Linked DNA regions of Arabidopsis thaliana. The protein of the gene in region 2 interacts with the protein of the main gene of each other region in a pairwise test. Each region holds a gene or a part of one and is shown on either strand. Other genes may lie near its edges. The genes, in order: AT1G21790, AT2G25520 and CYP94B3.

Region 1 (10,871 bases), on a different chromosome or scaffold from region 2:
ATGGAACTAGAAAAAGTTTTTCAAATTTGTATTCTTCCATTAAATGCTGAAGAAAAAGTTAGATATCTTCTCCCTCTCTTCCTCTTTTGAAAATTGAAAAAAAAAGACATTTCAAAACTGTAAAGAATTACAACCACAAAAAGAAAGAAATTCTCGCTTTTTTGGCCATGTTATTTATTCTTGGTTTTGAAGAATCATATCATATTGCAACTGTTTTCTAGTCTGGTAATCTTGTTTTCTCCTCAACTCTTTTTTCTAATGTTCTGTAACAAATTGTTCATTACACGAAACGAAACAGAAAGATGTTGTTGTAGTTCTTTTTTAATGACATGTTATGAAGTGATTGCTAAAATCATTACCAGTTTTGTGTTCTTCTGGGAAATGTTGTGGTCCAGTCCATTATATAGTTAAGTACTTAAGATTTGTTGTCAGAGTGTCCTGAAAGCAAAATCTGGGAAAGCTGATAAGCCAAGTTACCTCTTTTTTTTTATACATATGTTTTCAAAAGTTCCTAAAAAATTGTTTGGTTTTGTTTTATTTTTCTCTTCTTAAGGTACTTAAGTTTGTGATTTGATGATGACTGGTACTACTTTGATATTGGAACCAGTTATGGATTCCAAAGATGAGCTAGTGAAACAACATGCCAAAGTTGCAGAAGATGCTGTTGCTGGTAATTAGTCACTCCTTTTCTGATCCTGCTTCTGGAGTTAGCATTTTATAGTGAAAGCATTTTCTCTTGTGGTTTTTTTTCAAGGGTGGGAGAAAGCTGAGAATGAAGTGGTTGAGCTGAAGCAAAAGCTCGAGGATGCGGCTGATAAGAACATTGTCTTGGAAGATAGGGTAAGTCATCTTGATGGGGCGCTTAAGGAGTGTGTGAGACAACTAAGGCAGTTTAGAGATGAACAAGAGAAGAATATTCAAGCAGCTGTGACTGAGAGCACCAAGGAGTTGCATTCTGCTAACACTGGTCTAGAGAAGCGAGTTCTTGAGCTCCAGAAAGAAGCAGAAGCTGCTAAATCTGAAAACATGATGCTGAGACGCGAGTTTCTTACACAGCGTGAAGACCTTGAGATTGTGATGATTGAGAGGGACTTGAGCACTCAAGCAGCAGAAACTGCTAGTAAGCAGCATTTAGACATCATAAAGAAGTTGGCGAAACTCGAAGCTGAGTGCAGGAAGCTTAGGATTTTGGCTAAAACATCATCATCGCTATCATCTAATCAATCTGTGGATAGTCATTCAGATGGAGGAAGGGAGAGAGTTGAGGGGAGTTGCTCTGATTCATGGGCATCATCAGCATTTATTTCTGAGTTAGATCAAATCAAGAATGAAAAAGGCGGCAATAGAAGTCTTCAGGGCACTACTTCATCAACTGAAATTGATCTCATGGATGATTTCCTTGAGATGGAACGTCTTGTGGCTCTTCCTACTGAGACACAGGCTAAAAACTCCAAGGATGGATATGAATTGAGCTTAATGGAGAAGTTGGAGAAGATACAAGCAGAAAAGGATGATCTTGAAAGAGAAGTTAAATGTTGTAGAGAAGCGGAAAAGAGATTGAGCTTAGAGATTGAAGCAGTTGTTGGTGACAAAATGGAGTTGGAAGATATGTTAAAGAGGGTGGAAGCTGAGAAAGCTGAGCTAAAGACATCTTTTGACGTGCTCAAAGATAAATATCAAGAGTCAAGAGTTTGTTTTCAAGAAGTTGACACAAAGTTGGAGAAGCTACAAGCAGAAAAGGATGAGCTTGACAGTGAAGTTATTTGTTGTAAAGAAGCAGAGAAGAGATTCAGCTTAGAACTCGAAGCTGTAGTTGGTGACAAAATTGAGATGGAAGATGAGTTGGAGAAGATGGAAGCTGAGAAAGCTGAGCTAAAGATATCTTTTGACGTAATTAAAGATCAATATCAAGAATCTAGAGTTTGTTTTCAAGAAGTTGAGATGAAGTTGGAAGCGATGAAAAGGGAGCTTAAACTAGCTAATGAATCGAAAACACAAGCCGAATCTCGGGTGACCAGAATGGAAGCAGAGGTGAGAAAGGAGAGGATTGTCTCTGATGGGCTAAAGGAAAAGTGTGAGACATTTGAAGAAGAGCTTAGAAGAGAGATAGAAGAGAAGACAATGATCAAGAGAGAAAAAGTGGAACCAAAGATCAAACAGGTATAGCTTTTTATTTTTCTGATCACCAATTAGTCTTTTTTTCTTTTTCTTAATCCTTGTTTCACTAAAAGCTGATTCTATTGCAGGAAGACATAGCAACAGCTGCAGGAAAATTTGCAGATTGTCAGAAAACAATAGCATCACTTGGGAAACAGCTACAATCTCTTGCAACACTAGAAGAATTCTTGATCGATACAGCTAGCATTCCAGGTTCTGCAAGGTCAGTTCACAACAAGGAAGCTTTGTTAGGAAAAGATCCTCATGAGTGCATCAAAACAATCAATGGAAGATCACTTGAGTTTCTTGCAATCCAGAACAGCAATAACAAGACCTCACCTCCTTGTTCATCTTCTTCGGACTCAACAACAGTGTCATTAATTATGTCATCAAACCGAGGGAGTTCTGAGAAGAATCGCAACGGATTTGCCACGGTTTTCACTCGAAGTAGAAACTCAGTAAATTTGGGGATTTAGGAGAAGCAATAGGTTCGTTCTTGGAGTATAGCTAGAATCAATCTGTTGTTAAGCTGGATTTCTTACCATAATTTTCAGATTCTGACTTGTTAGTAGCAAAAAGATCACCCTTGTTTCTTTTGCTACATAGTGTAATCTTCTTAACGTTTATGTCTTGTGAGATTCATCTTTGTTATTTCACTGTCACCAGTTTGATGGTCTCATATGATGCATTGTCACCAAGTAAAATATTGATTTTTGTTTTGTTTGGTTAGATAAAGACAAAGAAAACTGCAATCTGTGGTGCTGCTGAACTGCTGATGTTGAATCTATTCATTGGTCGTGTCTAAAATACAATATTTTGGATTAGATTCTAAACTGGTACATGCAACAGAACAAGCACCTGAGGTTCTATGGTGTAGTGGTTAGCACTCTGGACTTTGAATCCAGCGACCTGGGTTCGACTCCCGGTAGGACCTCTCATGCTCTTGCATTTTTTTTTCTTCCAAACATTGGTGGAAACTGAACCGGACCAAACTTCATCAACTCAACACTAAACAAACTTTCCTAATAGATTGAAAAGATTATACCAAAATTTAACTGAATAAACCAAAGTTCATTAAGATTAACTTTTATATAATGATTATGATATATAAATCACAACCAAAGATCAAACCAAAATTCTAATTTGGTTCCGTTTCCCCAAACACAAGAAGAAAAAAAGTCTGTTGACTGTAATCATCAAGAAATAACATTTACATGTAGTTTTCCTATAGAGAGATACATACAAATCTGAAAGCTATTAGAACTTAGTAGCAAAGCCTCAGATATAAACAAGAGATGAGTGGGTAGTATTCATACAACAACAAACCATAGATTCGGTAATGGATTGCCTCTAAATTAGCTATTATTCTCCATGGTCGTGAAGGTTGCCGTTCTCTTGGTTTCTTCTGTGGCTTCTCTCTCTTCTGAAAGCATGAAACAGATCCAACCCGAGGCCAACATTAAGAATGTTCATTCCTGCCATACCAGACAGAGCGAGTGGTAACTCCACGCCTTTCCCAAACTTGTGTGCGTCTTTGATCAGCTTGATAGTGATGAGAATGTGAGGAATGCATCTCGCAAACACAAAGGCTGTCCAGTTTAATACCCACTCCAGTTTCACCAATGCTGTGTTGCTGTCTCGGATTCCTGCCATTCTCCTTAGCTTCCTCACGTGTAGAAAGATCGAATGCATCTGTTTACACATCCGAATAACAGAGGTGTCACTTTTGTTCGAACAAGTAGATGTTGTAGAGTTGAGTCTATATCTAACTAGATTGTTATATATGAAACTAGTCTAGTTTAACTAGAGAATGTTAGCATAGATTCGGTAAAGAACAGAGAAAAGCCAGGGCAAGTTTTCAGGAAGAAAAAAGTGGAACGTACCTCACAGATGAGAGTAAGAATAAGGTAGTTGATGGTTACATTTCGGTATAGTGCCAATGTGAAGCAAACAAGGAGGACTAGATGGTGAACAAGAATAGAAGGTATTAAGCCGCTGTATAACCGGTACTGAAGCATATCCCACTGGTCATATGCAAAGTAGCCGCATGAGAAACACAAAGCTGGATATGCCCATTTCCAAGTCCCACCAACCAACTCAGAATGATCAAACATCTCGTCTAAACCTTTGGCTAAGCATTGATTGAGAAGTATGAAAACCACTGTAGTAACACAAGAGCAGTGTTGAAGATGAAAAATCATAATCAGTAAGGCTTAACGAAGAAAGAACTGCATTATACTCAAGCTATGGCAATCAATCATAAGACTAATCCAATCGGAAATAAGAATCACATTAAGCAATGAAACCGTGAAAACACAGCACCAAAGGAAAATTGACTAATACCAACGACCAATGTGCACACCTATGATAAAATTTCCCCACTAACAGAGCACAATCCTATAGTAAGAACTCAAATATAAGAGAAGAGAGAAAGGGACCTGATGCGGAGGTGATGATTGAGTGCAAAAGCGAGACAGAGGTATTAACAAATATAGGGTCACGAGAAATCCATGAACGAACAACCCAATTCATCAATTGAAAGAAGCATCCACCGCAAATCACCCAGAGAAGCTCCGTCCGGAGATTGAAAGCAATCTCAAACACGACGGAGACAAGCCAAAGAAGCAGCGTCGCTAAGAAAAACTGCCCAGCCCCATTCTTCTTCCCTCCTGAACTCCCAATCCCGTTCCTCGCCATCGAAACCTCACTGTCTCTCTCGGAGATTGCTTGAGAATCCGGCAAAGTTAACCCTAAATTGGATTCTTAGCTCAAACTTCGATATCCATTTCCAATTTTGGCGGAAGAGACGATACAAATGCCTTCACGTTATAAGCTTTACTTTGGGACGCAACGGACACGTGTCGGTCGATACTTCATCCTCCTGATGCTGACTCATCTAATTAAAACAAAAAACGTACGATTTCAACATCGACAAAATTATCATATTTTGTGCCGACATTCGATGTCGACAGTCATTAGGCCTAGTCACAGCCCATTTGAAAGGCTCGGCCCATTTGAGAGGCTCGGTACACCAAACTAGAGGCAAATCCACTCAATACTATACATTAGACAGAGTGATACAACAAAATCCAGAGTTGTTGTTAGTTACACACACAGAAGAGAACAAGAAGACTATAAACAAAACACCATCAAGCTGAAATGTTCAAAGTATGTGTGTAAGTGTATATTAGACCGGTTTCCACACAGACAAAACCTCTTGAAACATCTCCAGCATCAGTTCTCGATCAGCTTGCCTGAAGAAACTGCTGATTTCTTCTCTGACATCATAAATCTTTCCGAAATCAAACAAATACATCAAACACCCTTTCTTCAGTTTCTCCAGCTGATAAAGCCAAGCTTCTTGTAGCCTCTCGAGCACATTACTCGAGTTTATATCTTCCATTAGGCTCTCCTCGCAGGCTGCTTTCAAATCCGTTATGTCGTACTTGTTTGCAGCGCCGAGGAGGGCGAGCCTGTGTTTCCAGAACTCTTCTTGGGTTATGTTTCCGTAGAGGTAACTTAGTAGAGCCATGCAAGATTCTCTCGACATGTCGTCTATGTGGATTGTGGATGATTCCTTTTCCATGAGGTCGTGGTGGAACATGCTTTTGAAAACAGTTGAGCTAGCTGAGAGGATAGCTTTGTGAGCAGAGAGTGTTCCATCGGCTGTGTGGATGATTACATCGGTTAGTATGCTTTCCTCTAGCATCCGGGATAAGCATTTGAGAGTGGTTTGAGTAGAGATTGATTGCATTGTTGCATCGGTTGGCCAAACAGGAGAAGCTTCACCACCCTGGATTATGATTTGATTTGATCAACCATGGAAGTACAAATGTTACAAAGAGAAGAAATTGTGAGAGTATAAATAGAATCATTAAGCTTACATTCACAGGGCAGATTTTGAGATCAAGAAACTCAACATCAATGGTGAATCGACCGTGGAAACTGGAGTCAACATGCCACACACAATCATCAGTTGTACGCAGCAGCTTCTCATAAACTGCACCAAATAAACAGAGTATCTCAGCTTAAACAAACCTAATTCAGTTGTAACCATCCCATAAGGTACTACTAATCATCAGCCAATCATTAACATCTAAATTAATATCTTTCAGATTCCACATAATTGAATATAGTTCCCACATAAAAGGTAATTCCCTTTCCTGAAATACCTAATTCGAGCTCGACAATAGAATTCAAATTCCAAATCCAGAAAAGTCAATTCAAAGACAAGACATACCAGGAGAGATGTAGAATCTACGATTGGGGCCAACGTTGGAGACACGAAGAACAAATTTGGCAACAGGAGGTTGCTCTTTAGATACTCGAGAAAGTTCTGGGAATAGCCTCACTGATAGATAGCGATTCCTCTCTATAGACAGATGCCTTCATCATATCCCAAAACAAACAAAAATCAAAATTCCGAAGAAAATTTACCAAAATAAACCAAAAATGAAAAGCTTACCAATTCCAAATTCCGACTTTGAAAGGATCGGACTTTTTGAAAGAACAAGGACCAAAATTTTCAATTCTCCATTGAGCTAACCTCGAGATTGTCTCTACCTTCGTGTCCCCCATCCACTTTCTCTCTGAAGTTTTGACTTCCTTTTCTCTCTGAACTCTTTACTTCACGCCAAATAACACGACGAAGCAAGCAAAACACTCTGCCGCCTCCATCGCCTGCCACGTGTACGACGATTATACGTTTTTATCCATTAAACCGGTTTACTAACGATATATTAAAATCAATTCTCGGTTTGAAATGAAAGAGAGTGGACTTAGACTTAGAGAGATAACAGATAAAATGGCGACGGGGACGGCGACGGAGAAACCGAAGATCGTGTGGAACGAAGGAAGACATAGATTCGAGACTGATGATCACGAAGCCTTCATAGAGTACAAGATGAAGAATGACGGTAAAGTCATGGATCTGGTTCGAACCTTCGTACCGCCGTCAAAAGCAGGACTTGGTTTAGCTTCGCATCTATGCGTCGCCGCTTTCGAACACGCCTCTGAACACTCTTTCTCCATCATCCCCACTTGCTCCTACGTTTCCGTATACATCTCTTCTTTCCTCAAAAAATTGAGATGAATCAGATTCTTATGAAAATATGTCGTGTTTTGCAGGAAACGTTTCTTCATCGAAACCCAACGTGGCAGCGTCTGGTTCACTCAGAGGATGATTCCAAGAACCTCAAGTCTAGCATCTGATCAAGTCCTGCTTTAAAGCCTTTTGGTGTATAATAAAAACTTGAAAACATTATCTTACAATAGTAAAGCTTGTTTCAAGTAATCTCTGTAAACAAACAAAAATCCCAAAATGTATGTTTTTCACAATTCGACAGCAACAAACAAACACTAATGTTTGTCGTAACAATAAATATAACGTGAAAACATTATTCTATGATACATTTTTGTACAGAAACTTCGATGTGTCTCTTTAGCCAGTGACATAGTAATCCATTTTCTCCGGTGGCAAGTTCAGAACCGATTCGTCAACCTAATAACATCAAGGAAGATATTCAGATCAAATCAATGTAACTAAGATTATAGGTGGGAAGAGTATACAATAATTTATAGTTTACTTACCTCTTCGAAAGGAACGAAGACGAATGCAGTCATACCCCTCTTGTGTGAGACGGCAGGTATATCCGGGTTGTGAGTTTCATCGTCTTCCCAACCTTCAACTAACCCAAGAATGTCTTCTTCTGTGCTGCTTATTTCCTCATCGTTCACACCACTTGTCACAAGTGACAGCAAATCCATCCTGTTATTCGCTCCAATAGCTGTTCCTCTTAACCTAACCACACCCGAAAACATATCCACACCAAGAAGATCAAAATGACTATCAGCTACTAAAAATTTCAACCCCATCACATTCACCGGATCAGATAAGTCTTAGATGAATGTACTAGACACGGTACTTTAAAAGATAAGTAACAGGCCTTCTTCCCAATGCCAGACCAAGGTTCTAAATGCTATTACTAAAAAGAAGTCTTCTCTATCCACATATTTTGAGGGATTGAAGTACCTTAAACGAATCCTTAAGACAGTAGGGCGTGTCCCTGGGTACAGAACAGCTGCTTCGATCTGCAAAAAGAACATGTTTTTCAGTAATCAGGATTATGAAGATGTAATGTTGTTGATTACCAGCCAAAAGGCAGTAGAGGGAGCTAACCTTATCATCCGACATTGACAGTGTATAAGTGCCTTTGTAAAGATTTTCAGATTTAGAAGCCTTAAAGTTCATGTACTTGGCAACATCCTTCAATTTCTGTGAAGAGTTCTGAAGGAATAACAACAAATACGGATGGATCATTATCAGACTAGATCCCACCAGTAGCTCAACGTTTATACCTACTTATATCGAAGAGTGCAAACCTTGTAAAGAAATCTGCCAGAAGGGTAGAACCTTATGTAGCGGTAGTAACAAACCTGCAACAAATTTTCCAAAAGAAGACGCAGATTATTATATGTGTCTGTATTGGACAGATGAAGAAGAAAAGAAAGAAAAAGACAAAGACTTTACAATGTGAACTGGATTTGTAATCTTCCACTCAGCAATTCCAGCTCGAATGTAAGTATTCCTACTCACATAAAGACCTGAGAAGAAGATACATAGTTACTTTAATCAATAAAGATATAACAAGACACGATGTTAGTCAGAGCATACAAAAGAAAACAATCACTTGGCGCTAGAATGTCGTGAAGCAAGAGGATGAAGAAAGAAAGATTACCATCAGTACGAACTCTGGATCTAAGAAGCCACATTTTCCTCCATGATCCATCATATTTAGACTGCAAGATCTTATAGTTTTCGATAACCCCAGCAGTCTGCCAAGCTTTCAAGCAGGCATTACGCCAGAACATAGGGTTTCGAACTGTGTACCTCCACTTTCTACAAACACAAGATGCTCTACCTAAGTCATAAGGCATCATCCGAGCAAACACCTACAAGTAACATATCCAAGAATCAACTTCTCCAGTACATAAGAAAAACAAATTTCAGTACAATGACAAAACATAGTATAAAGAAAGCTCCAACCTCGAAAAGAAGCTCATCAGGCAAGCAACGATGAATCAAAGCTGGATCAAAATGAGGTTTACGGCTTGTACTTCCGAATGGTGGCACAGGCCTCACATGGACTCCATAAAGATCTGTAAAATGTAACTCATTACAAACCATAAACCCAATTCTTGATAAGATGAAAACAGACAAGAGAATGAGTGTTAAATGATTAGAGATGTACCAAGCCAAGGCCTTTTTGTAATAAAGTATTGTACAGTCCTGAGCCGCAAGGCAGATTCAAGCTCAGATGGTATAGTGAGAGCATCTGTGACAAACAAGCACCAATGAAATCAAGTTTCTTTCTTTCACAAAAGAATCAATAAATAGCTCACAATTTCACCTTGAAACTCAGTGATAGCATCAATACAAGTTCAATATGAATAAATTAAAAACCTTTCGTTTCTCAATTTTGTAATTGAACACATTCACGAGACTACCAGATCAATCTCTAAATTATTTTCACCTCCAATCATACGAGTTTCGAAGGATACTCAAAGCCAAACGGTTCCCATCATAATGATTTTTGAATGAAAATATAGAGAAAGTTTAATCAACAGAGAAAATTTCTCAAAATTGATCTGTTCTCGGTGTCATGTATTGATCTGATTCAATTCGTCAAAATTAATAAAATTGAATCCAAGATTGCAATACCTGAAGTCATGGAAACTGAGAGACGATTTGAAAATACAGCGATTTCGTAGCCGCCCGTGCGAGCTCCCTGTTACCGGGAAAAAAAAAGAAGAAGATAGAAACAGAGACTCTTTCTCTGTCTTTTTTTTAATATTATTTTATTGTTTTCTCGAGGTTCACAAAATTCAGACAAACAACGAAACCGACATTTCTGAGTTAAATCAGTTCAAGGTCGGTTTCAATATCTTTAACCAATTGGTTTAGTTTAACTGTTTCTCGTTCTTCCATTAGATTGTTTAGTGAAAAAACTGAAAGTATTAGGACCAAAAAAGGAACAAGCATGTTGAACAAGTCAATAAAATTGTAAATGTTGATAAACGCTTGGACAGTAAAAGTAACGTTTGATCTCCTCGACGATCTGCTTGAGTTTCCTTTCTCTCATACTTTCCTCAACAACCAAATTAGCCTTTTGTTTTCTTTTCAAATAGTGGAACCAATTAAGAGTCAACTAGTATATTATCTTGGTATATGCTTCAGAATTAATATATTTTTAGTGTTAGAACTCGTCCCAAGAAATGCCTCAAAAACTATATTAAAGGAGAACTGAATTCAAACAAAAAAAGGTAACATCAACCAAAAAAAAGAAAAGGAGGCAGCCATTATTGTTCTGAAGAGTGCACATATAAAAACCTAATGAATAGATAAAGAGATTCTCTCTGTCTGTCTGTCGTCTCTCTCTCTCTGTCTCTCAGTCTACTCAATGCTCTGTCTTCTTCTGTGTATTTTCCTCAAAACTACCAAACTAAGCTAGCAGCTAAGAGACACAACACACTTCTCTTTTCAGAGCTCATCCTTGACTTCCTCAGTTGTCTCTTCCTCCTTCTTAGGCTCTCCAACTGTGTCCTTGTTCTTGTCGACGAAGCTTATGAAATCTTCCTTTGTCCTGTCTCCTTCGTAAACCACAACGTTTCCGCTCGCTGATTTGAAGTAAATGGTCGGGAATCCCTTCACATCA
Region 2 (10,871 bases):
GCCCTGTTTATAAATGAGTGTGTGGATATATACGTAGTAAACCCCATTAATCTAAGAAGGTCTTGTGATTATGTGTTGGTTATATCTAATGTTTGATTATGTATGTGTTGGGTAAATAATGTTCAGTGGAAGTTACTACAAAACAGTTTTATGACAGATGCATTATTTGACTATTTGTGAAGTTTTACTATTCGCGTTATTAGTTTAAGTGATTTAAGATTTACGATAAATGCGATTAGTCTAAACATAAAAAGCTATAAAAAAAGTTACTCACAGTGCAGACGTTTTTGTGATGGAACATCAAAAACAAAATAACATTTTTATTCATGAATGGCCTTAGTATAAAGGCAAAAGACCAAAGCTTTTGGTTGGTCACTTCTGCTCGAACAATAATCACAGTAGAAAAAATAATGGCTCAAAATAAGTCAACTGTTCATTTGTTATTTGTGCATTACTTCTGCTGATGGAAGTAAGGATGCAAGAAACGAACTCCTTCAAGGTACAACGGAGTCTGCATCTCAATTAACCGAGACGCCTGCACCGATCAACATAATTAACCAAAGTAGTTTTTTGGATGAAAAGAATATTAGGAACTGAGAAATGACTTACAGCTCGAGCAAAAGCAAACATTTCCTCTTCACCAGAAAGCATTGATACGATCGAAGAAGGCGAGCCAGCTGCACTTATGCTACCTTCTGCAAGCACATCTCGCCTTAATCTTGAATCTTCCGTCTCTGTCTCAAACTGGAAGCTGCAAGTTTTTTATGTGATAACCACACAAAGTAAACCATCTTGGTGCAATTTAAAGGATTGGCATATAAACAAACTGAATCAAAATGATGAAGCCGAAACCAAATCAAAATGATCAAGCCGATACCATATCGAACTGTGTTTATAATCCTATTGGTTATATTACTTTAAAGCTGATACCAAACAAAAACTGATTCTAGTGTAATCGGATTGGCATATGTAAATCAAACTGAATCATAATGATTAAGCCAAAACCAAATCGAAATGATAAAACCATTACTGAGTCAAAATGAATCTAAAACGAACCAAATTTCACCTAAAAACAAACAGAAATAAAGACCGGGAAACCCACTAAACCTGAACAGAATCATACCGTAAACCAGATTGTCAATTATGTGTTCTTACCTTTCCAGGTCAAAGAGCGTTCCCTCTGCAGTTCCTTGAAACAACTCATCAATTGCTGTCTCCGCGCTTGAGACAAGACAACAATGATGGTTGTATAACTCATCTACAAGGGTTATAAACCTACGTGCCTGATAACATCAAAAGTCCTTAAGAGGAAGGAATCAGCAAACATCAAAAGCCATAAATCTTGATTTTAGTTATACCTTGTCGCGTATCTCCATGCTCATTGCTGGAATATCAGATATAAAAATTGTATGATAGTTTTTGGCCACTGCGATATAATCTGCTGCACCTACCGGTCGACCACATAGATACTCGAATGTGAACCTTGCCACTCCACTACAGCTTTCAGGAACTTCCACTGTTCTGATGATACACACACAACAAAGACCATTATGGTTTGATTTAACCCATCAAAAAAGAAAAACCATTGCTATCATTAGTACCTTCCAAACATCACTGGGAGAGTCGCCGAAGTTATTTCTCCACCGTACTGGTCAGTGACCTGACGCCACATTTTCTCAAATTCTTCCAGAACAGCATCATTCAAAGGCCATAAGTAGTGAACCTATAAATGGACGTTTAAAATTTCGTCAACAGAAGCAAAAAAGAACACAACATTAAACGATGTAAAGAGTCTGTGATTCACACATTTTCAGCCGAATTTTTTGCTGCAACTCGGCGGTAATCTACTTCACTTCCAATTGAGATTATTTCACAATGTTTCTCCAATTTAGAGATAAACTTATCAAATATCTCCTTCTGCATTCCGTCCTGTACCAACAACATTAGCAAGAAAATTAGTGGCTCAGCGCAAAAACTCTGTGTAATCAATATACATGTCCTTCATGAAATCAGTTAAAGAGACCTCTTTGCTGAAAATAGAAGAGGGCTTAACGAGGAAAAGAAAAGGAAACCTGATTCAACTCCCGTGGTGCTCGGTTACTGGTGGCCACAAGAACAGTTCCAGTAGTCAACAATCTGCTCATAATTCCAGATAAGGCCACAATAGCAAATACATCAACTGTCTGTAACAGAAGATGCAAGAAATTCCAAGTTATGGGAAGATTGAACACTATTTGCAATGGCATATGAGACCAAAACTAAGCAAGTCCAGTCTCATCTAAGCCCTCGTAGAACACTGAATTGGCTTTATGACTTTTTGAGTGATAAGCAATTAGCGAGCCTAGTTTTTATCACTTAATAACTATCTCATAATCAATATATATGCTTAGAAGAATGAATTATATGCTATAGTTTCTTTTCTAATTCCATATATACAGTTACCTGAATCTCATCAAAGCAGAGGATGCTAGCTCCTTTTTTACTCGATTGCTGATCAACGAGAAACTTATCAGCCACAGCTGGAAGAATGTGTTTCATTTGGAGTTGCTGCTTATAAAATTCTTCTCCTGCTAGCCATTCCTTAACTTTTTCATCAACAGGAAGATTCATAATCCAGCTCGAAATGCTATATTGCATTGGCTTCTCAGCACCATTCTCCTTCCAATACTTGTGCATTTGTTCATTTATCTTCAGCATAGCCTACAAAGAAAGAAATGGAAAATATATTGAGTTTGAATTAATTTGAAAGAAGAACCGCTAAAGGCTCACTCACCTCATGAAAGTGAAACCGTTGTCTATGTCTAATGATCCCATCAGTAGCACCATAAAACATATCCATCAACATAGTCTTGCCTACATGAAAACACACCAAACATTGTCTTAAATACCTAACCATATTAGCTACACGGTAAGATCATAATGTAGCATCCATTAACATACCACATCCTACATTTCCATAGATATATAATCCTTTTGGAGCTGGTGGTACCGCGGGACGAGAACCGACAATCGAGTCCAATTTTCTCTCTCGGTTAAGGTACGATACCCATTTACCAACTCCAGGTTCTACATTCATCTGTCTCCGCCTAAAACACACGAAAGAAAACAAAACCATTTGAAAAAACTAACAAACAAATATTCAACTAAAAAAAGAAGCCATTGACAAAAACCTCACCCTAATACCCATCTTCCCAAAAGCTTTTGTCCCTGCTTATTCACAGATGCCCACATTCCATCATCTTCCTTCTTCTCAGCTTCTTCCACCATTAGCTTTCTTCGTTCCTCCTCTCTCTTCTTCTCCCACTCTGCTAATCTCACCTAAACACCGAAATGTTACACATCTATATGCAAACAATTGAACCAAATTGTTACACTATTTGCAATTTACATGATAATCCTCCATTTGCTTCTCGAAATGTTCCAATCTTCCAAACAAATTTTCGAATGCCGAAACAACTTTCTCTTGGTATGGATCATGTTGTAACCTCCCTTGCTCCACTAACTTAGAGTAATTCGTCAGTGGACCTGATAAAGGAGCGACATTAATCTCAATTGCATAATTCTCAACGAATTGAAGATTCTGAAAGTACCTGATGGTTGTTTGGGAGGATCAGAGGTGGAATAGGAACGAGCAACGAAGTGTAAGCCATTGGAGAGTCTTCTTTTACAAGAAAACGCTAGACGTAGAACAGTAGAGATCTGAGAAACATTAGGCATAATTTGTTGCTTCAGACTCCGATTGTGGTTTCTTCTCTGGAGACTAGCTTTACGATCACGGTTTAGCTACTGTTCCGGAGAAGAATTTAGAACGGTATTAATAGGTGTCGACGTGACGAACTATAAGAGAGCCACGTGGTGGAATATGGACCGTTTGTCGTATTGCTGATTTGGCTTATTAGTGTCCGTGTAGATTTCTTTAGTGGGTTTGGTAGAGATGTCAAAACTAGGATGCCAAATCTGCCAAACCCGATGTGGTCCGGTCCGTGACATGTATGATGTATCTGCATTTCGTTTGGTGCAGCCTAATTTGGACTAATAAAGTTTCGTCCGAGTCTAGAATACTACTGCCTGATATGTAGTAGATTCAAACAAAAAAAAGATATGTAGGAACTATGAGCTAGTTATAAGATTCCAGTTGAAATCAAACAAAACTGGTTTGTTAAGTTTTGGAATTTGATAGGATATAACCCAAATCCAAAAACAATTCTGCCAAGAGGTAGGATGGCTATTCAAAGTCACATTTCACAAAGTGACAAACCAAGCACCAATGCATGCTTATGAATTCTGTTCTGGAACAAAACAGCTTTTATGCCAAGCGAGAGTAGATCCGAATTGTGTTAAAAGTTCCCAAATATTCGCTGATGAGAAATCCATAACCCGTGAGCCTGTTTGAATGTTTTTAGTTTGGTATCTAACACCTATTTGGCCTGTCCCTTTACTCAGGACAGAAACTTGTTGAGACTAAAGGAAGGATATTTGTAGAGGTTAAATGAGACCATTGTATTCATATGATGGTGTCATGTGTCATATTATTGCAAGGGAACGTCGGTATGGGTATTTTGTTTATTTCCTTAAATTGTGGATCTTGCTACTAAATGATCCTACATAACCCATAAAATATCAAAAAGTTTTTGGTGTTGACCATCTTCTTGTGCCTTCCAACATACAACGGTTTCATTGGATAAAGAGAGACGTAAAAGGGACTTTCAATTTGACATTTAACAATCTCAATGGAGGGAAAAAATATAAAGAAGTACTACTAAAACAATTGTTACCCACAAAGATAGATTCATGAGGAAGTAAGAAACAAAATACAACTCAAAAGAAGAAGATACAATGGAGTTCAAAAGATTCATGAACCTCTAATTAAACACCCATCCATCACTATGTAATATAATCAGCCATAACTTAAAAATATAATCGCAAAACTAAAACGTAGACGAACGAACACCGACAATGATAATCATACCTATGAAAATGCAAAATCCATCTTCCCAAATCATTCTAACCTTGAAGCTCTTATTTCCTGAAATTGCATTCTTGAATCAGAACAGATCAATCTTGGGTTTCGTTGCGTTTAGCTTCACTTTCCCTCTCTTCCAAAAGCTTCCCAGCTTCGTCATCACTTGCCTGAACCTTCTTCTGTGCATCTTTAGCCTTCAACGCCTGTAACTTGCAGTGATTGTAATATCCAACACCCAAAAAGGCAAGTCCATAACCAAACAGATTGATAGGTGTGACCGTGTCCTTAATCACCGACCACGAGAATGCAATCAAGAGCCAATCCTTAACCACACCAGCCACATTCATAGTCAAAGCAGAGGTTTTCCCAACGAGCAAGAACACAGCAAGATTCAAAGCAAACGCACAAACAGAATTGGTTCCAAAGATCACGAAATCGAAATGGAAACTCGAAGTATCTCTAAGAACTGGAAACTCCACAAAGATCCAAGGAACAGAGAGGAAAACCAAACAACAAGGAGCAACGTAATAGAGAGAAGTGATTGGATTTAGATTGATTCCTTTAGAAGTAAGCAAGATCTGAATCAAAACCAACCTAGTGGCTTCAAAAGCAACAGCACCAAGCTGAAGAAAAACACCCCAACCATCAAACTTAGCTTCACCATAAGCAGCAATAGCAACACCAAACGAGATCGAAAGCATGTTAGTCATAGTCTGAGATTTGAAAGTCTCTTTCTTCAACAAAACCCCGATTGAGTAAACTGCTACAGGCATTAGGGCTTTGAGCATTTGAATGAAGGAAACAGAGAGGTAGATGTAAGCAGAGTTTGATAACCAGAGAGAAAGTGAGTACAACGCGCCGATTGGTACGACGGATCTGAGATAAGTCTCGCGTGACATTGAAACAGGCTCGACGACTTTGAAGACTTTGATGAGAATCACAGCTAAGGAAGAGCAAAAACCCATGTGGATCATGGTGAGAGTTATTGGGAATGGCCAATTATACATCTTCTTGTCGAGGATGTATTTGTTGTAGACGATGACTGTGAAGCTGAGGAAGATCCAGATTGCGACATAGGTGTATGAAAGGATGATCTTTTTGATCACTCCGTCGGAAAGTGCACGACCTTTCCCCATGGCGGTGGGTTTGTTTTCGCCGGAGAAGAAGATGGTGGTGGTGGTGCGCAGGATAAAGGATTAAGAGAGAGAGGTGCGCACGATAGAAGTCTCTCTCTCTTTGGGTCAATGTTTTTGGGTTTGGGGGAGAAAGAGACTTTGAGTTTGGTCTTGTAATGTAGAGGAAGGGCTTACGTGACTTTGTTATGCTACGTGGCGAAAAGGTGCGCGATTATTTGACGATTGGCGTATTGTGGGACCCGCATTTTTAATCATCTGTTTTCTAGTGGATTTATACTTAGTCTTTAAATTATGAAATAAATGTAACAAATGTTTTGTTTTGAACTCTTTTTTTAGTCAATTACGTTTTGTTAATTTCTCTAGGGTTTTTTAATATTGCGGAAAACTCACAGAAAGGAACACAATTTTACCTTAACTAATTTAGTAAAAATTAAATATTTGTATATCTTAACACTAAATAACGTCATTTTTGTTATAAAATTAATAAGCCAGTTATTTAGATAAAGTATGTGATGATGTATGTTTCCTGAAACGGCTTTTAGTCGAAACTCTTTAAGTTTACGTTGCCTTAAATTAATGACGAATCCCTAAAGCTATTAGTTAGAGACTTAAGAGTAATTAAATGGAAACTTGTAACGAAGAGAGTATGCGAAGTAAATAAATGGGAGAGAGTAACGATGAAACAAAGAGTCAACGTTTAAATTAGAGCGCGTGAATCTCACATCGCGACAGTTTTGCTGCGTCCCTCTTACGTTGCATTATTGGTGCCTTGGTGGTGGTGCTAATGTAGTTGTCGCAACGTTTGTTGGGTTACTTCGGGTCCAGAGTCCAGACGGGGTTTGTTGACCGACTCAGTACTTGTACAAATACCTGTCAAAATCTTGTCTTTCGCTCGCCTGATAAAATATTATTTGGTTTTGATTGTGGAATTATTCTGTTCAAAACTTCAAATGATTCAAACACTCAAAAGTCAAAACAAAAGCTTCTGGTGTAGAGACATTACAATATTTTTTTTCGACCATACATTTTCTATTAAATATATCATTTATTTGGTGTTGCCTAATCTGAAAGTTTAAATTTACAAAAAAAAAAGTTAGTAATAAATCTATAAATTAAAACGACTAAAATAATTTGGTATCTTATCATTCGTCTGAATACATATACCAAATTCAAAGTGAGATTATAAATTTTTCAAAACCGTTTCATGTGACAAGAGACTTTTTGGAAATCCCACGCCAAAGTTACAAAGGAACATTATTTATTTTGTAACTACAGTAACGTTTGCAAAAATAAATAAATTATCCGTAGTTACTACTTTCGGAACATTTGTTTTACGAAGAGTCTGACTGTCACATGGACAGCATTTCACCGATTACGTGACGTGCGAGGAAGTCATGTGGCCATATATAAAGTAGCTACTAACTTCCCATGTTCTGCACGCCAATTGCAAAAATACTTCTACTAATGTTTAACCAATACAGGCATATAGCGAATGAATCTTTTGCAAAGAAAGAAAAGAAACATTTTAGGAGGGAAAAATAAGTTTGTAGCAAACCGATTATGCAGTTACATTTACATTTCTCCCTTAATATTTATCTACTTTGTTTCTCTTTTACAGAGACATCATTTAGAATTTATAAATTATAATTACTAATAAGGGAAGCAAAGTTAATGAATAGAGACAAAACAAGAAACAGAGAGCTAGTAACGATAGAGAGAACGAAACAAACGATTCAGCCCGAGAGAACGAAACAAAAGTGGCGGATATGATAACATCAAAGTCGATCATTTTTTTAATTTCCGTTTTAAGGTGATTTTAGTTATTGAGTACTTATTATTATTATGATCTAATAAGTGCACAACTGCTTGCTTAGTAACTAGTAGTTCTGGTTACTTGAAATACAGGCTAATTGGTAATTCAAAATACGTAAAGTAACAAATATTATTTTTATCAGTTACATGCAAGTATGCAATCATATCTGATAGTATTTATCAACCGCGGACCCAATAGTACAAGCAGAAGTAAAACCTTCACCTAAACGAATCACCGTATAAAGTGGCATCCCCATAATTAAAACCGTGGACATTATTCATATAAATAACAAAAATAAGATACTGAATTAGTCGTGTCATAAGCCAGATACCAAAGCCGGATTCAACTGGAAACTTAGACGGAACTCTGCCAGAAAAACCGTTCTTTAGAGAGAGAGCCCATTACATTTTTTTACCTTCAATGGAAGAGTGGAGACAGTATGGTTCTATTGCTAATGTGGAGGAACCGTATATTCTTCTTCTCCATTCGTCATTTTATTAACAAAAGCTTGTTTCTTATATTTAAATATAAAAAAATTATATGAACCACATGTTGTTCAGTTTTGTGACAAAATGAATGATCTGTACATATATTTTTTAGTGTTTCTAACTTGTTATGTGCGGTTCTTCCATTTTTCTTTTCTTTTTTACTGTTAACAATTAATATTGTCAGTTTATATAACTTTATTTGAGTTTTATATTAATGAGATTTTGAAAAAAAAAAAAAAAAGATTTTGAAAATAAACAAAATACTTTGGCTATATAAACTATCCTATGTTGGATAAAATTTTTTCCAAAAATATTAATAATGACCAAAATTAGTAATTAATATGCCCAAAATTATAGCCCTCTGTTTTTTTTTTTGTCAAAATTTTCATATTAATAAGGAAAATTTACTTAGATGCTATACAAATTAGGTATACTAGGGCGAAACTCGCGCCAAACCACTGGGTTTTTTTTTTAATGCAACTTTGTTAAATTGTATGTATGTATTGAAATTATTTGTCGTGACACAATATATTTGTTATTTTTTAATAATATCCATATAGGTCTTTTTTTTTTTTGTTGGTAGCCATGTGTTGATTTATGTTGTCTAGCATTATCAATATTTTGATTTTTACTTTTCGACATTATGAGTTCGTATTTCGTGAATACTTTGAATAAGTCTAAATTGCAAACAACTTAGTATATATGGACACAAATCATTGAGTGAGTAAATTTTATATCTTATGAGATTAGTATGATGAGAAATAAGAAGGGAGGATCCTTTCCCATATTTAGCAGGTCGGCAGCCAAATGACTTAGGACCCTCGAATAGTAAAAAAATAAGTCCCGAAAGGCCCAAAATAAGAGTATTAATTTATTTACTTACCAATAATCATTTCTCTAAAAAAACAAAAATTAATTTTATTTGCACATTTTTTTTTTCTTTCTACTGCACCAACAAATATCTTATATTTTAACCTTTATCTTATAATATACATATATAAAAGTGTTAAGAAGATGATATTTTTTTTAAAATCCCAACTTTGTTTTTTTAGCTATAACAAAATAATATTTATAATTTTTATAATTAATCAAATAAATCCTGTTTAAAAAAAAATTGTTTCAGCCCTCCGAAATATCAAAACCTGTCTATTTGGACCGATCGAGACTGAACCACCCCTTTTTAAAAAATGCTCATATGTCATTGCGAGTGGATTATAAACCTAAATCCCAATCCAATGTTTTATTTGAAACTTACGTCCAAAATTTTAAAACCTAAAAAACAAGTTAGATCAGTGTCCTTGGGTTTTTGATCTAAATTTATGTGTTTGATATACTTTTGTAACTAAATTAAATCTAAATAAATTAATTAATAAATGGAAACATGTTATTTTCATAGAAGAAAGAGTTAATGCATGATTTAATTATGGTGATGTGTGTCATCGCTCGAGAGACACCACATCTTTTATATATAGGATAATGGCCTTTGTGGTTTAGCATGTCTGAGTTTAAACGATCCAACGTAAGTAATTAAGAGGCGTTTTATAACACAAAAGGAAATACAAGTTTTATTTATTATAGCGGCCGTTCGACAAACTATAAAATATGACAAACACATGCATAGGTAAACAAAGACAGAAGCCACAAACCAAACCACAATGTAAGAAACATGCACACACACACGCATTCGAAGCTAGATTGAGGTCAATGACCAGGTTCGTTTGTGCCTTTGAAAGACCTCTGGGGCGGAGGAGGAGATAAATGAAGACGACTACATGTGCCTTTTCGAAGACATTCCGGAATAGGCGGATCTTTTGGCGTAGGGCGTATAACCTTAGGAATATATTTTGGCTTAATAGGAATAGTAAAGCGTGCATCATGGTAAGTCTTTTCTGCACCTACACCACCCGAAAAGCATTACATTATATATTACAGTGTCAATGTTTGATCATCTTTGTGCTCATTTGTCTATTCAAATGAGGAGAAATTCCAAAATTCAAACCAAAATCAGGATTAAACACAACTAATTAATAACGTAAAATGATACTAATGACCTCGGAACATCTAAAATACCAAAAGACTAACCTTGTTTCTGGGATTCCTCGTGTGCGCCTAGGGCTTTATCCATATGCGGAAACACAAGAAGAAGAAGGAGGAATAGAACCATAGTAGATGTCATCTTAATATTCCCTCTTATTTTGCTTATTAGTGTCACTCATGGTTATGCATTTATATAGGCTATACAGCAAATTATAAAAGAAATTTAAAGATATGGTGGATAATATAGAAAGGCTAAGAGACAAAGAAGATGAAGAAATCTGTGGACAGTCTAGCGAGAGACTTAAAAGCTTATAGTCATCGACGACTTAGTTGGATCACTTATTTTATGAGTCTCGAAGTTTTTGTTGTATTATTTGGTGAAAAGTCTTCAATAGCCAATTCGCCATATGATTTTAAAAGATCATTTTATATTC
Region 3 (10,871 bases), on a different chromosome or scaffold from region 2:
AAGTGTTTTCACTCTAGAACCACAATCTTTTTTTCGACTAAGACATCAGTAGTCAAATATTCAAATCTAATTTGGTATAAGTCATTATAATTATGATTATGTTAGCATGTTTTCTTATAAATATCAGGTTTTAGAGTTGGTAACTCCGTCCACACTTTGGTTTTCCAATTTTTCTTGAAGTTTTTGAAATCTTGTTAGTTTGTGAACTACAAAACTCGGAAAAACAAAATTAAATATCATTAGGTTTAATATGGTTAGCTAGAATGATCTTAATTGTTTTTTTCAGTGGAGTTTTGGAATCAACATTTGGAATTGTAGTTCAAAAAGATTTTAATATCTTTAAAAAATAAAATAATAATATCATTTCGTACGGTTTAATATGTGGAATTAACATTTCATTCAAATATGAGTCGTGGACCATATATATTTGCATTCACGATCAATAGTTGCATTGCTTCTGCTTTGAGATAAACAGCATGGACTGATCAAGATGACTTCTTATTGGAAATGGTATGTGTTTTCAACATCACTAGATTTGTTTTTGGGTATCCAATGTTTTCTTTTTTCCGTTTACAACTATTTTTTCAGTCTAGTTTAGCAAAAAAAACTATTTTTCAGTTTTCATGTTTATAATAATTTAATTAGTAAATTGTTTGGATCATATAGTGTTAGACTTAGAAGTTTAATTTTTTCTTTGTACGTCTTGATTTTTTGGACTGATTAGCCATTTCAAATATATAATATAATTACTATGTTTGGGAAGAAAAAGAAAAAAAGTGATTCATTGATTGGTGGGCAAGGCTTGGTAGTTACTTGTATAAAATATAGTAACAAAAATGTTCACCCTCTTTTAATATGCCGTCTGGAACACGTGGCACGTCTCATATAGGTTGCCACAATACCTAGTACCTACCTACGCAATTTGAATATTTGGTATGTTCATAAGATAAGTTTCACAAATCTTATCAGTTCAATTAATAAAATATGATTCGATTCTTATAATTAATATTGAGTTGATCTTCCGATGAAGACAGTTGTTCTGAGGGCCATCTAATATTATATTCGCACTTCAAGATTAACTTCAAGATAGTTCTAAAATGTAAGGAAGCAATGTTATCTTTTATATGCGAGGAGGAAAGTTTTGAAAACCAAATTATACGGATCAAAGTTCTTATAAAACAGTAATTAATTAAATCTAAATTACACCAACAAAAGCTAATTATAACTCATTTATCTTTCTTGTTTCAGGAAAACGTAAATAAACTCCTAAATACTGAATAATAAACAATATTATTTGAGTATCGATTAATTGTGTACTGTGTACATGAGCCTCGTCAATTGCAATGTTTATACCAACCAATTACCTTTAGTTTTATACAAGAACATTATTTTCATATTATCGTATCTCTGGACCGTGCCAACTGCCAAGTGACTTACTTGAACTTGAATATAAAGATACACGTAACTCTCACATGAAATTCAGGGAAAAGGTTAAAAAGTTGAGATGTGCTTCCATAATCGGAATGGTGTATGTAATGTACATAATAAGATTACATATAATTTATGCATAACTTATAATACGATAAGTGGAGGATTCCAAAGGTATAATATGAATTGACCAAGATTTACGTCACTCCTCTTGTATAATGAATAAAAAGTAGATACAAGCCTAAATTACTACAATAATTAACATTTGTTCTATCTATATATAGTACATGATATAGATATTATTTTATACGTGATAATTGGAGCCTGGAGGGTTTCCCTTTAGAGAAGTCTCTAATAATAGTGATTAGAACAACCAAACGAACGATTTACTTTCTAAAAGTAGAAAGCGGACAATCTCTTATCTTTAGAATATAAAAGAAATAACATATGCTTTTCATTTTTCAAAGATATTGATTACATAGGAAAGAAAACATTGATTACGTTCTATAATCTCACCTGCTGCTTTGATACCTAATTGTATAATTAATTAGTATCCGATACAGTAATAGTAGTACACAGTTCGCGTCGCCAACAGTTTTCGTAACAAATACTACTATAGTACTATCATCCGCAAATTAATTGATTATTAACTAATGAAACCAATGGAGATCGTCATTTAGTAATCACAAGTGAACTCAAGAGAACAAAAGCAGACATGTTCGACCAATGAAAACTAGCCAACCCGAAATAAGATATTTATTAGGGTTTAAAGAATTTGTGAGAATAGAAGAATTAGGTTCGTCTTGAAGGCCGTAAAAGTCCCAAAACCAAGAATCCTAACTTGGAAAAATGACGAAGTTGTTTGAGCCACGTGTGAGGACTGTAATCTGGTTGGTAGAACTAGGATGAGTCACCAAGCTAGTGTCCCCTGTAGGACAATAGCACTACTAGATAGATGTCTTTTACTCCAATTATACCAAAGTAGCCATGACTAGACCACTTCTCCATTTGTTTTTTATTTGATGTTCTACTCTCAAAACTAATAAAGGTTACCGGCCGTTTGATAGGCTTACTTTTACACACAGACATATCCACAAATTATGTGGTTATATACAATGGCGGTCCTAATGAAGATTGAGAAAAATTACTAGCACAATTGGCAAATTTTGGTTATTGAAAATTTTAAATGAACCTACTCACCTAGGTAATGATAGTATAATACTAAGGAAAATGTATTGGAGTGATGATTTTTGAAGACTTTTATTTTTTTTAACAAAATTCTGTTACTCAATTTATTATTTGCAAATGTCTTCCCAATCTGGTGTTATTGAACATATAATTCACTTAAAATAGTTTATAATAAATTACATCCCCTGTTTTTTATTCAATAGTTTATGGAAGTCATATAAAATTTGTTGTATTTTAAAATTTATGAATTTAGCTTATAATTTATAGAAACAATTGCTGGGTTTTGATATAGCAGATTAGCAGTTGGAGCAATAATTCAAAAGCTTATATAAGAGTTTTCAAATTATTGTGCGAAAACAATCTAGACTTTTTATTTGTTATTTGAATTATGTATTTTCTACTGTTTTCGAAATATGATCATACAAAGATGAGACGAAACATTTTAATAAAATCTTTGAAATGTTTCTAATTAATTAAAGAAAATATTTTTTCTAATTAATAAAAAATATATATATATATATTTTTTTAAAACCAATGGAGAAATAAAAATTTAGTATTTCCTTAAACAAATGATTTTGATATTAACTATTTTAACTATAAACTAATATATTCTAATTATAATTAAACAATTTTTACCCATAACTAATGACAATTAAAATAAATAAATGACTGATTTTGGACAATGTTCAAATGTTCTTCTCTTTTAAAAATATAAAGATAGATCATTGCTCGCTGAAAATTGTTGACAACTTGACATCTAAGCGATCGGTGTGTGCCTTTGTAAGTTAGGTTGATTCTACAGAGTGAGATTAACTCTGTGAACTAATAAAATTGTGGAGAATGAGAGAGTGATGAGATTTTTGAAGTAAGATGCGTATAATTATTTATACTACCTTGAAGGGTTTATTTGGGTTATAATTAGAATTGTATTGTGGTCTCTGTATAGTCTTGGGCTTTATATGTTGGGCTAAATATTGTTAATCCCACAAAAAACAAAAAATCCGACCTGCCGGAATCGAACCAGCGACCTAAAGATTTGCTGTCACAGACTACAGTCTTCCGCTCTACCAACTGAGCTAAGGTCGGATGCTGCAATACATTCGCTTTGTTTACTTTATTAACAAATGTTTACAACTAAGAATAAGCTACATGTCTACAACAATGCAAAAGAATTGACATTATAGACATTCTCATTGGTTTGGTTCTCACTGTTCACATTTCATTTAGCTTCAACATCTACATGGCCAGTTCCTAACTAGATTATTGATTTTTGGGCTTATTTGGTTATTTTCGGTTTGCTCAATCCAATTTGGTTTCGTTTGGGTCAGCGGCAAGACTACAAGCTCTATTTCTAACTCGATGCAAAAAATTATGTTTCAAGGAATTGAACCAAAACTTACCTGATTATATTCGGTTTTGGTATGTTTTACAAATTTATACAGATTGATTTCGCAGGCAGGAGTATTGCCACACTGATATTCTATATATAAATAACTCGTTTTTACATATTCTATTAAACGTTGTTAAGGATGTGACTTCTTCTCTTGATCTTCACCTTAAGCCCACCAGCCATATGAGCCGTTAAAAGAGGAACAAAAACCGGCCGGTCTTTGTTAACCGGCACAATCTCAAACCGACTCAAAACAGAACCAACGACGTATTTCATCTGCATAAATGCCATCTCTTTCCCTACACAAACCCTCGGCCCGGCTTGAAAAACCGGAAATTTGTAGGGACTAATAGGTTTCAAAACCGGTCGTGTACTCCCCGGTTCAGAATCAAACCACCGGTTCGGGTTAAACTCTTCTGAATCCGTACCCCATAGCGTCTCCATCCTCCCCATACCGTATGGGAAATAGGTCACTTTGTCTCCTCTCTTGACACGTGTCCCATCAGGCAAAACGTCGTCGTTTGCAGCATGTTTAGAGTCCCACGAAACTGGAGGATATAGCCTCATGGCTTCACATAGACAAGCCTTCGTGTAAGCCATCTCTTTCAAATCCTCAAACCCTAACCCTAAACTCACCAACGGGTCCACTTCTTCTAAAATCTTCCGCTCCACGTCATCGTTCTCAGTCAACAACCAAAACAGCCACGTCATCGCTGCTGACGTTGTATCTCTTCCCGCCATGATAAAACTAATAACCATGTCCCTCACTGCTTCGCCGTTGTGGCCGGCGGCTAGAAACCTCGACAAAAGATCTTGCTTTGCTTCTGCTCCGGTTCCGATCTCAAGACTCTTCTTCTTAGCTCTGACAATCTCAGAGACCAACACGTGCACGGTCCTGATCGCTTCCCTAAGCTTCCTCTCGCTTCCCACGTTCAACACACGCTTCGTTTTCCAAACAGCGTAAATAGGCTCCGTGGCACGGCGAGCACTAATCTCAGCAGCGGTGTCAAAAGCCTCCACAAGTGGATTAACGGGTCGGGTTAGATCCAAACAATCCGGATCCCAACCCAACGAGACTTTACAAACAACATCAAAAGCAAAACGTTTCAAAACATCTTGCAAATCCACGGTCGTACCAACATCAGCCGCCGTGGATAAAACCGGGACTAGACGGTTCTCCACTTCGTCTTTAAGAACCTCAAAAGCAAAACTCCTAAGCGAGCGAGTGGAGAACTCGTGGCTAGCGAGTTTGCGCTGCGAGCTCCATGAGTGACCGTCGACATTGAATATGCCTCCACCGAGAAGATCACCAAGAAGATCAGTAAAAGGTTTACCTTTAGGGAAGTTAAAGAAGTTTGTTTTGAGAATGTACTCGACGTTTAATGGGTTTGTTGTGATGATGGTGCGACGGTTGCCGAGGAGAGGAACTAAGATGGTTTGAGACGGAGAGAGACGGAGAAGCTCGGTGTACCATTGAAGAAGACGATGACGGTTTTTGTTGAAAGAGAGTATGGAGCCAATGAGTGGATACGATGGTGGTCCATATGTGGTGTTTTCTTGGACTTTTTTAGTTGAAGATGAAGATAAAAAGAAGATGATGGTTATAAGAAACGCTAGTATCAAAAAACTCAGAAGAAATGCCATATTGTTTAATTGTTTTTTGTTCTTGGTTTTTTTTTTGTGTTGGTGTGTTGGAAAGAGTTTGTGAATGTGCTTTTTATATTGCTAATTAAGTGTTTGTGTGTGTTCTTGGTGGGTATTGCGTGTGTGTATATAGAAAGGGAAAGGTGGCGGGTCCGGACCAATCTGTCCCGAAACATATCGCTTTTAGTATTAATTTGATTTCTTATATCACATTTTGATCGACGTAACACGGTATTATACTATTATGTGTCTACGGAGATATTATTTTATCTCCTTTTTTGTCTTTAGTGTAGCTGTATGTCACTGTTTCATTCCTTTTTTTAGTCTAATATATAGTATCTTTTTTTGAGAATTGTCCTAACGAAAATATAAATGTTTAGTCAGGCTATTTTGTCTCTTTTAGGATGACGATATTGTTTCGAGTTCCTAATACTGTAGTATAGATTTTCTCTTTTAGTGATAAGCTCCATCAGGATATTGAACTGTTAGTGTAACTGTGAGTATGTATCATCAAATGATTAATATTGTAATAAGCACATTGAACAACTTTCCTGAAAAAACCACATTTGTGTATAAGGAATTTATAAAATTAAAAAAAAAACAAAAAAAAAGAATTTATAAAATTAATAGGACATCAAACATTTCTTTTAATTAATTTATTCGTTTATTACATATTGTTTGGCTTACTTGACCCTTTATTTATCGCTCGTTTGCTATCTAAGCCGCTTTTGTGTTTCCTAATTTGACGTGTTGCAAACGCTTTGGCGACGCAGAAGTCCAAAGTTTTAGAACGTGGCATATCTCCGACAAAACCACGATAGAGACTATGACGCAAGGAAAATAGACCTATATTAAAGTAACTAAATTAATTATAGTGTACTTTGAATGGTTAACAAAAAAACTCAAATGATATACGACATCTCCATTAATGGTTACAATATTACGAAACATCCAAACATTATATTAATATTTGTTAGGTCAAAATTTGAATCGAACCGTGGTTTCTAGAATATAATACATGTATTAATGGTATAGTTGAAATTTGAATGGTAGCTTGAAAACATGAATTTCGCTCCGGCTTACAATATGTGTTAATAATCACTATTCTAATGTCTTAAAAATAATTAAGCGATTATACTTTTGATAAAATGGTCGGGTGTCAAATAAATCTGGAGGCGAAATGTAGAAAAGTAAACATTGAAAAGAAGAAAACAAATACTAGCAAGAGCCTGACAAAACTGTTCCCACTCGAACAAGAGCTATTCAATTGTGCACGTGTTTCTTTAGGCTTGAATTTAACCAGTAAAGTCAGTTTTATATGAGACGAAAGAAAGATGAACTTGATTTCAGCCACTCACGTTGTCGATACCGTCTTTTCTTGCTCGCACACAAAATAATTACGGAATTGAACAAAAATAACGGCGCCGTTCTATAAATTATATGAGCCAACATAATTGATTGGTAGCACGCAAAAAAAATGACTTAAGAAAAGGAACAACCGTTTTTTGTCTTCATGACTTCACCGTCCAAAGAACTCGTGGGTTATACAAGAGATATTTTTCCAGATGTATACAACATTTCGTTGTTGATGTTGTAATGTAATAGTTATACCAGATTTCTATGATAATTTTGACAAATAAAGGTTTCTATTTTTTTTTTTGAAAATTTTATTGTAAGTGGATGAGAAATTTCATAACTTATTTGATCAATAGACGCCAAAGCAGTGTAGAAAACAATTTTTGTGATCAATCACAATCTAGAATGCATGAGAAATTTATTAAAGTCTAATAGAGTCGGTGTAATAACTAATTACCTTGTTCTAAAACTAACATGATAAAATAAAATTCGTTTTAGCATATACTTACATCATGTTCAATATCAATTGTAAGCCAAATGAAAAGCAAAGAAAGGCAGAAGCAAAAAAACTTCACATAGCCTTTTAGCCTCAATCCATGACTTGTTTCTTGTTGTTGTTGTTGTTGAGTTATCTTCTTCCTCTCGACATGAACTCTATTAGCTTCTTCTTCTTTCCTTTCTTATGGTAAACGATCTTTTGCTTCACCTCTTCTCACGTCTTCTCACTTTTTCTTTTGCAAGTTTAATGAAATGTTTCAAGTTCAATAACAACTTCTTACGAAATTGAGCTCCGATTAGATTCAATTCAGCGTTAAGAACGATCGAAATGATGTTGCGAATGATCGATCTCAACTTATGCAAGATCAGAGAACAGAAAACGAAGAATAAAGACACACGATTTGTTTACCCGGTTCAGCAAGATCGGTGTGATCAAGCCTACATCCGGAGCCGAATCAATTCGGCAAATCCACTAAGCTTTATGAAGAGTACAACTAAAACCGAGCTTACAACAATGGTGATTCTCTCAAGTTCTCTCTCTCTCGATACAAGAAAACTTCAAAGAAGAAAACAGATGAAGAAGATGATAATCGTAACAGACTCTGTTACTCTTTGTATAATAGTCAAACCCTCCACTGCAGTTAGAGTCTTTGACTTCTCTTCTTTAATTTCCGGTTTAATCAGAAATCCCTTAACCAGAGATAACCGACTGCTTCAATCTTCAATTGACTTAACCAAACCAACTTCAGAGTTTGAATCAGATATAAACCAACAACACTCCACCTTGATTCAAATCTCTCCATAACTAGTGGACTTGCACTTACTTGGATTTCACCTTCGGCTGAGATGTCTTTCCACCTCACCTGAGTAGCTTTAGAAACTCTAAAGCTGACTCAAACTTCTGCACATGAATGCCTTTGGTAAGCATGTCTGCAGGATTCTGAGAAGTATGGATCTTAAGAACTTCAACACTTCCTTCTTCAATCACATCCCTGATAAAGTTGAACTTGATCGCAATATGTTTAGTTCTTTCATGGAACGTGTTGTTCTTTGCCAAACTGATTGCTGACTGTGAGTCACACCACAAAGTAACCTTCTCTTGCTTGAATCCCATTTCTGTTAACAACCCCTGAATCCACAAAGCTTCTTTCACTGCTTCAGTTAAAGCAACATACTCTGCTTCAGTGGTTGATAAAGCCACTATGCTCTGCAGATTTGACTTCCAACTTACTGTATTTCCACCAACAGTGAATACATAACCTGTTGTTGAACGCCTCCTGTCAAGGTCTGCTGCATAGTCAGAGTCACTAAAGCCTTGAACTCTGAAATCCTTTTCTCTGGTGAAAACCAGATTCAAATCTGTAGACCCTTTTAAGTATCTTAGCAACCATTTCACTGCAGTCCAATGAATCTTACCTGGTTTGCTCATAAACCTGCTTAGAACTCCAATAGCTTGAGCTATATCTGGTCTGGTGCCAACCATGGCATACATGATGCTGCCAATAGCACTTGAGTTTGGAACTTTATCAGTGTCCACACACTCTTCTTCCTCAACTACTGAGGCAAGTTTGAAATGTGCTCCCATAGGTGTGCTTACAGGTCTTGCTTCAGTCATATTAAACATGTGAAGCACTTTCTCTAAGTATCCTGTCTGAGACAACCGCAATGTACCTGCTTTTCTGTCTCTTATAATGTCGATTCCCAGTATTCGACTAGCTGCACCCATATCCTTCATTTCAAATCCTGTACTCAACGCCTCTTTGATCTTGTTGATTTCAGTCATTGACTTAGCTGCTATCAACATGTCATCAACGTATATCAGTATATACACAAACTCTTCATCACTCACCTGTTTTATGTAAACACACGAATCATGACCACTTCTGATAAAGTTCTGATCCATGATAAAAGAGTTAAACTTCTTGTTCCACTGACGTGGTGCTTGTTTTAACCCATAGAGTGACTTTTTTAACAAGCACACTTGATCCTTTTGTTCATCAGCAACATACCCTTCAGGTTGCTCCATGTAAAGTGGCTGGTCCAGATCACCATGCAAGAACGCAGTCTTAACATCCATTTGTTCCAATTCTAGATCTTCTTGAACAACAATAGACATCAAGATTCTTATCGACACATGCTTGACTACAGGTGCAAACACTTCATCATAGTCGATTCCTTTTCTCTGAGTAAAGCCTCTTGCTACTAGTCTGGCTTTGTATCTTTCAGGTTCCACACCGGGAATTCCTGGTTTCTTCTTGTACAGCCATCTACAACTGATGATTTTCTGATTCTTGGGATGGTCTACTATATCCCATGTATAGTTTTTCAATAGTGACTGCATTTCATCTCCCATTCCTGCATTCCATTTTTCCCACTCTTTGGTTTCTTTAGCTTCATGATAACAGCTAGGTTCTTCACTGCTGTCCATATCTTCAGCTGCCATAAGAGCATATGCAAATTGAGAGTAATCAGAGAATCTTATAGGTGCTCTGATTTGCCTTCTAACCCGATCTCTAGCTAACTGATAATTGCTCAGTCTTTCACTGCTTGCTGGAGCTTCTCCTTCGGGTTCAAAATACTCTGACTCATCATCACTAGATGAAACATCAACTGTTCCACCTGCAACAGAACTCTCACCAACCTGCTGTTGGTTACTTACTATTTCAGAGACAGTCTTTTCTGCTTGAGTAATCTTCTCTGCTCTTTCTTCTTGTTCAGACTTCTCTTTTAACTGCAAATCCTTATACACCAAGTCCTCATGAAATATCACATTTCGACTGATAACACATTTCATTTCTTCTAAGAGCCAGATCTTGTATCCCTTAGTGCCTTGCGGATAACCGAGGAACACACCTTTTAAAGCTCTTGGTTTAAGCTTTCCTTGATCTTGGTGTACATAAGCAACTGACCCAAACCTCCTTAAATGCTTGTACCCAGATTTCCTGTTTAACCACAACTCTTCAGGTACATTGTGATCCACTGCAAAAGCAGGTGACCTGTTCACCAGATATGCAACAGTTGAAGCAGCTTCAGCCCAGAATATTTCTTCAAGACCTGATTCACTCAAAAGACATCTCACTTTTTCCATAAGAGTTCTGTTCATTCTCTCTGCTACACCGTTCTGCTGAGGGGTATAAGCACATGTCCTGTGCCTTTCAATACCAAACTTCTTGAGGTAATCTTCAAATTTGGAATTACAAAACTCCAATCCATTATCTGTCCTGAGCACTTTAACCTTCTTTCACACCTGTGTTTCAACAAGTTCTTTCCACTCACAAAAACGGTCAAATGTCTCATCTTTAGATTTAAGAAACATAAGCCAAACCTTTCTTGTCTTACCATCAACAATAGACAGAAAATATTTCAT

What was found.
Region 1: the proteins of AT2G25520 (region 2) and AT1G21790 interact in a two-hybrid assay, tested with the Arabidopsis thaliana proteins (one large-scale study listed by BioGRID).
Region 3: the proteins of AT2G25520 (region 2) and CYP94B3 interact in a two-hybrid assay, tested with the Arabidopsis thaliana proteins (one large-scale study listed by BioGRID).

Annotation. Positions count from the first base shown.
Region 1 is NC_003070.9:7,648,340-7,659,210, reverse strand, and holds AT1G21790 (TRAM, LAG1 and CLN8 (TLC) lipid-sensing domain containing protein), read right to left. Parts: upstream 5,124-10,871; 5' UTR 4,855-5,123; coding exon 4,596-4,854; intron 4,319-4,595; coding exon 4,041-4,318; intron 3,850-4,040; coding exon 3,520-3,849; 3' UTR 3,230-3,519; downstream 1-3,229. Other genes in the region: AT1G21810 (filament-like protein (DUF869)), read left to right, coding at 574-670, 755-2,160, 2,247-2,633; AT1G21780 (BTB/POZ domain-containing protein), read right to left, coding at 5,345-5,950, 6,042-6,157, 6,398-6,543, 6,623-6,735; AT1G21770 (Acyl-CoA N-acyltransferases (NAT) superfamily protein), read left to right, coding at 6,962-7,213, 7,285-7,368; FBP7 (F-box protein 7), read right to left, coding at 7,598-7,657, 7,747-7,957, 8,189-8,247, 8,336-8,443, 8,539-8,592, 8,687-8,760, 8,895-9,108, 9,203-9,315 and 2 more; PDIL1-1 (PDI-like 1-1), read right to left, coding at 10,697-10,871.
Region 2 is NC_003071.7:10,856,178-10,867,048, reverse strand, and holds AT2G25520 (Drug/metabolite transporter superfamily protein), read right to left. Parts: upstream 6,382-10,871; 5' UTR 6,100-6,381; coding exon 5,056-6,099; 3' UTR 4,639-5,055; downstream 1-4,638. Other genes in the region: AT2G25530 (AFG1-like ATPase family protein), read right to left, coding at 452-535, 610-751, 1,156-1,283, 1,359-1,521, 1,602-1,723, 1,807-1,929, 2,073-2,183, 2,443-2,700 and 6 more; AT2G25510 (uncharacterized protein), read right to left, coding at 9,966-10,277.
Region 3 is NC_003074.8:17,970,975-17,981,845, forward strand, and holds CYP94B3 (cytochrome P450, family 94, subfamily B, polypeptide 3), read right to left. Parts: upstream 5,801-10,871; 5' UTR 5,651-5,800; coding exon 4,130-5,650; 3' UTR 3,879-4,129; downstream 1-3,878. UniProt on the Arabidopsis thaliana protein: Hydroxylase involved in the oxidation of the plant hormone jasmonoyl-L-isoleucine (JA-Ile), a bioactive phytohormone of the jasmonate-mediated signaling pathway. Converts JA-Ile to 12-hydroxy-JA-Ile.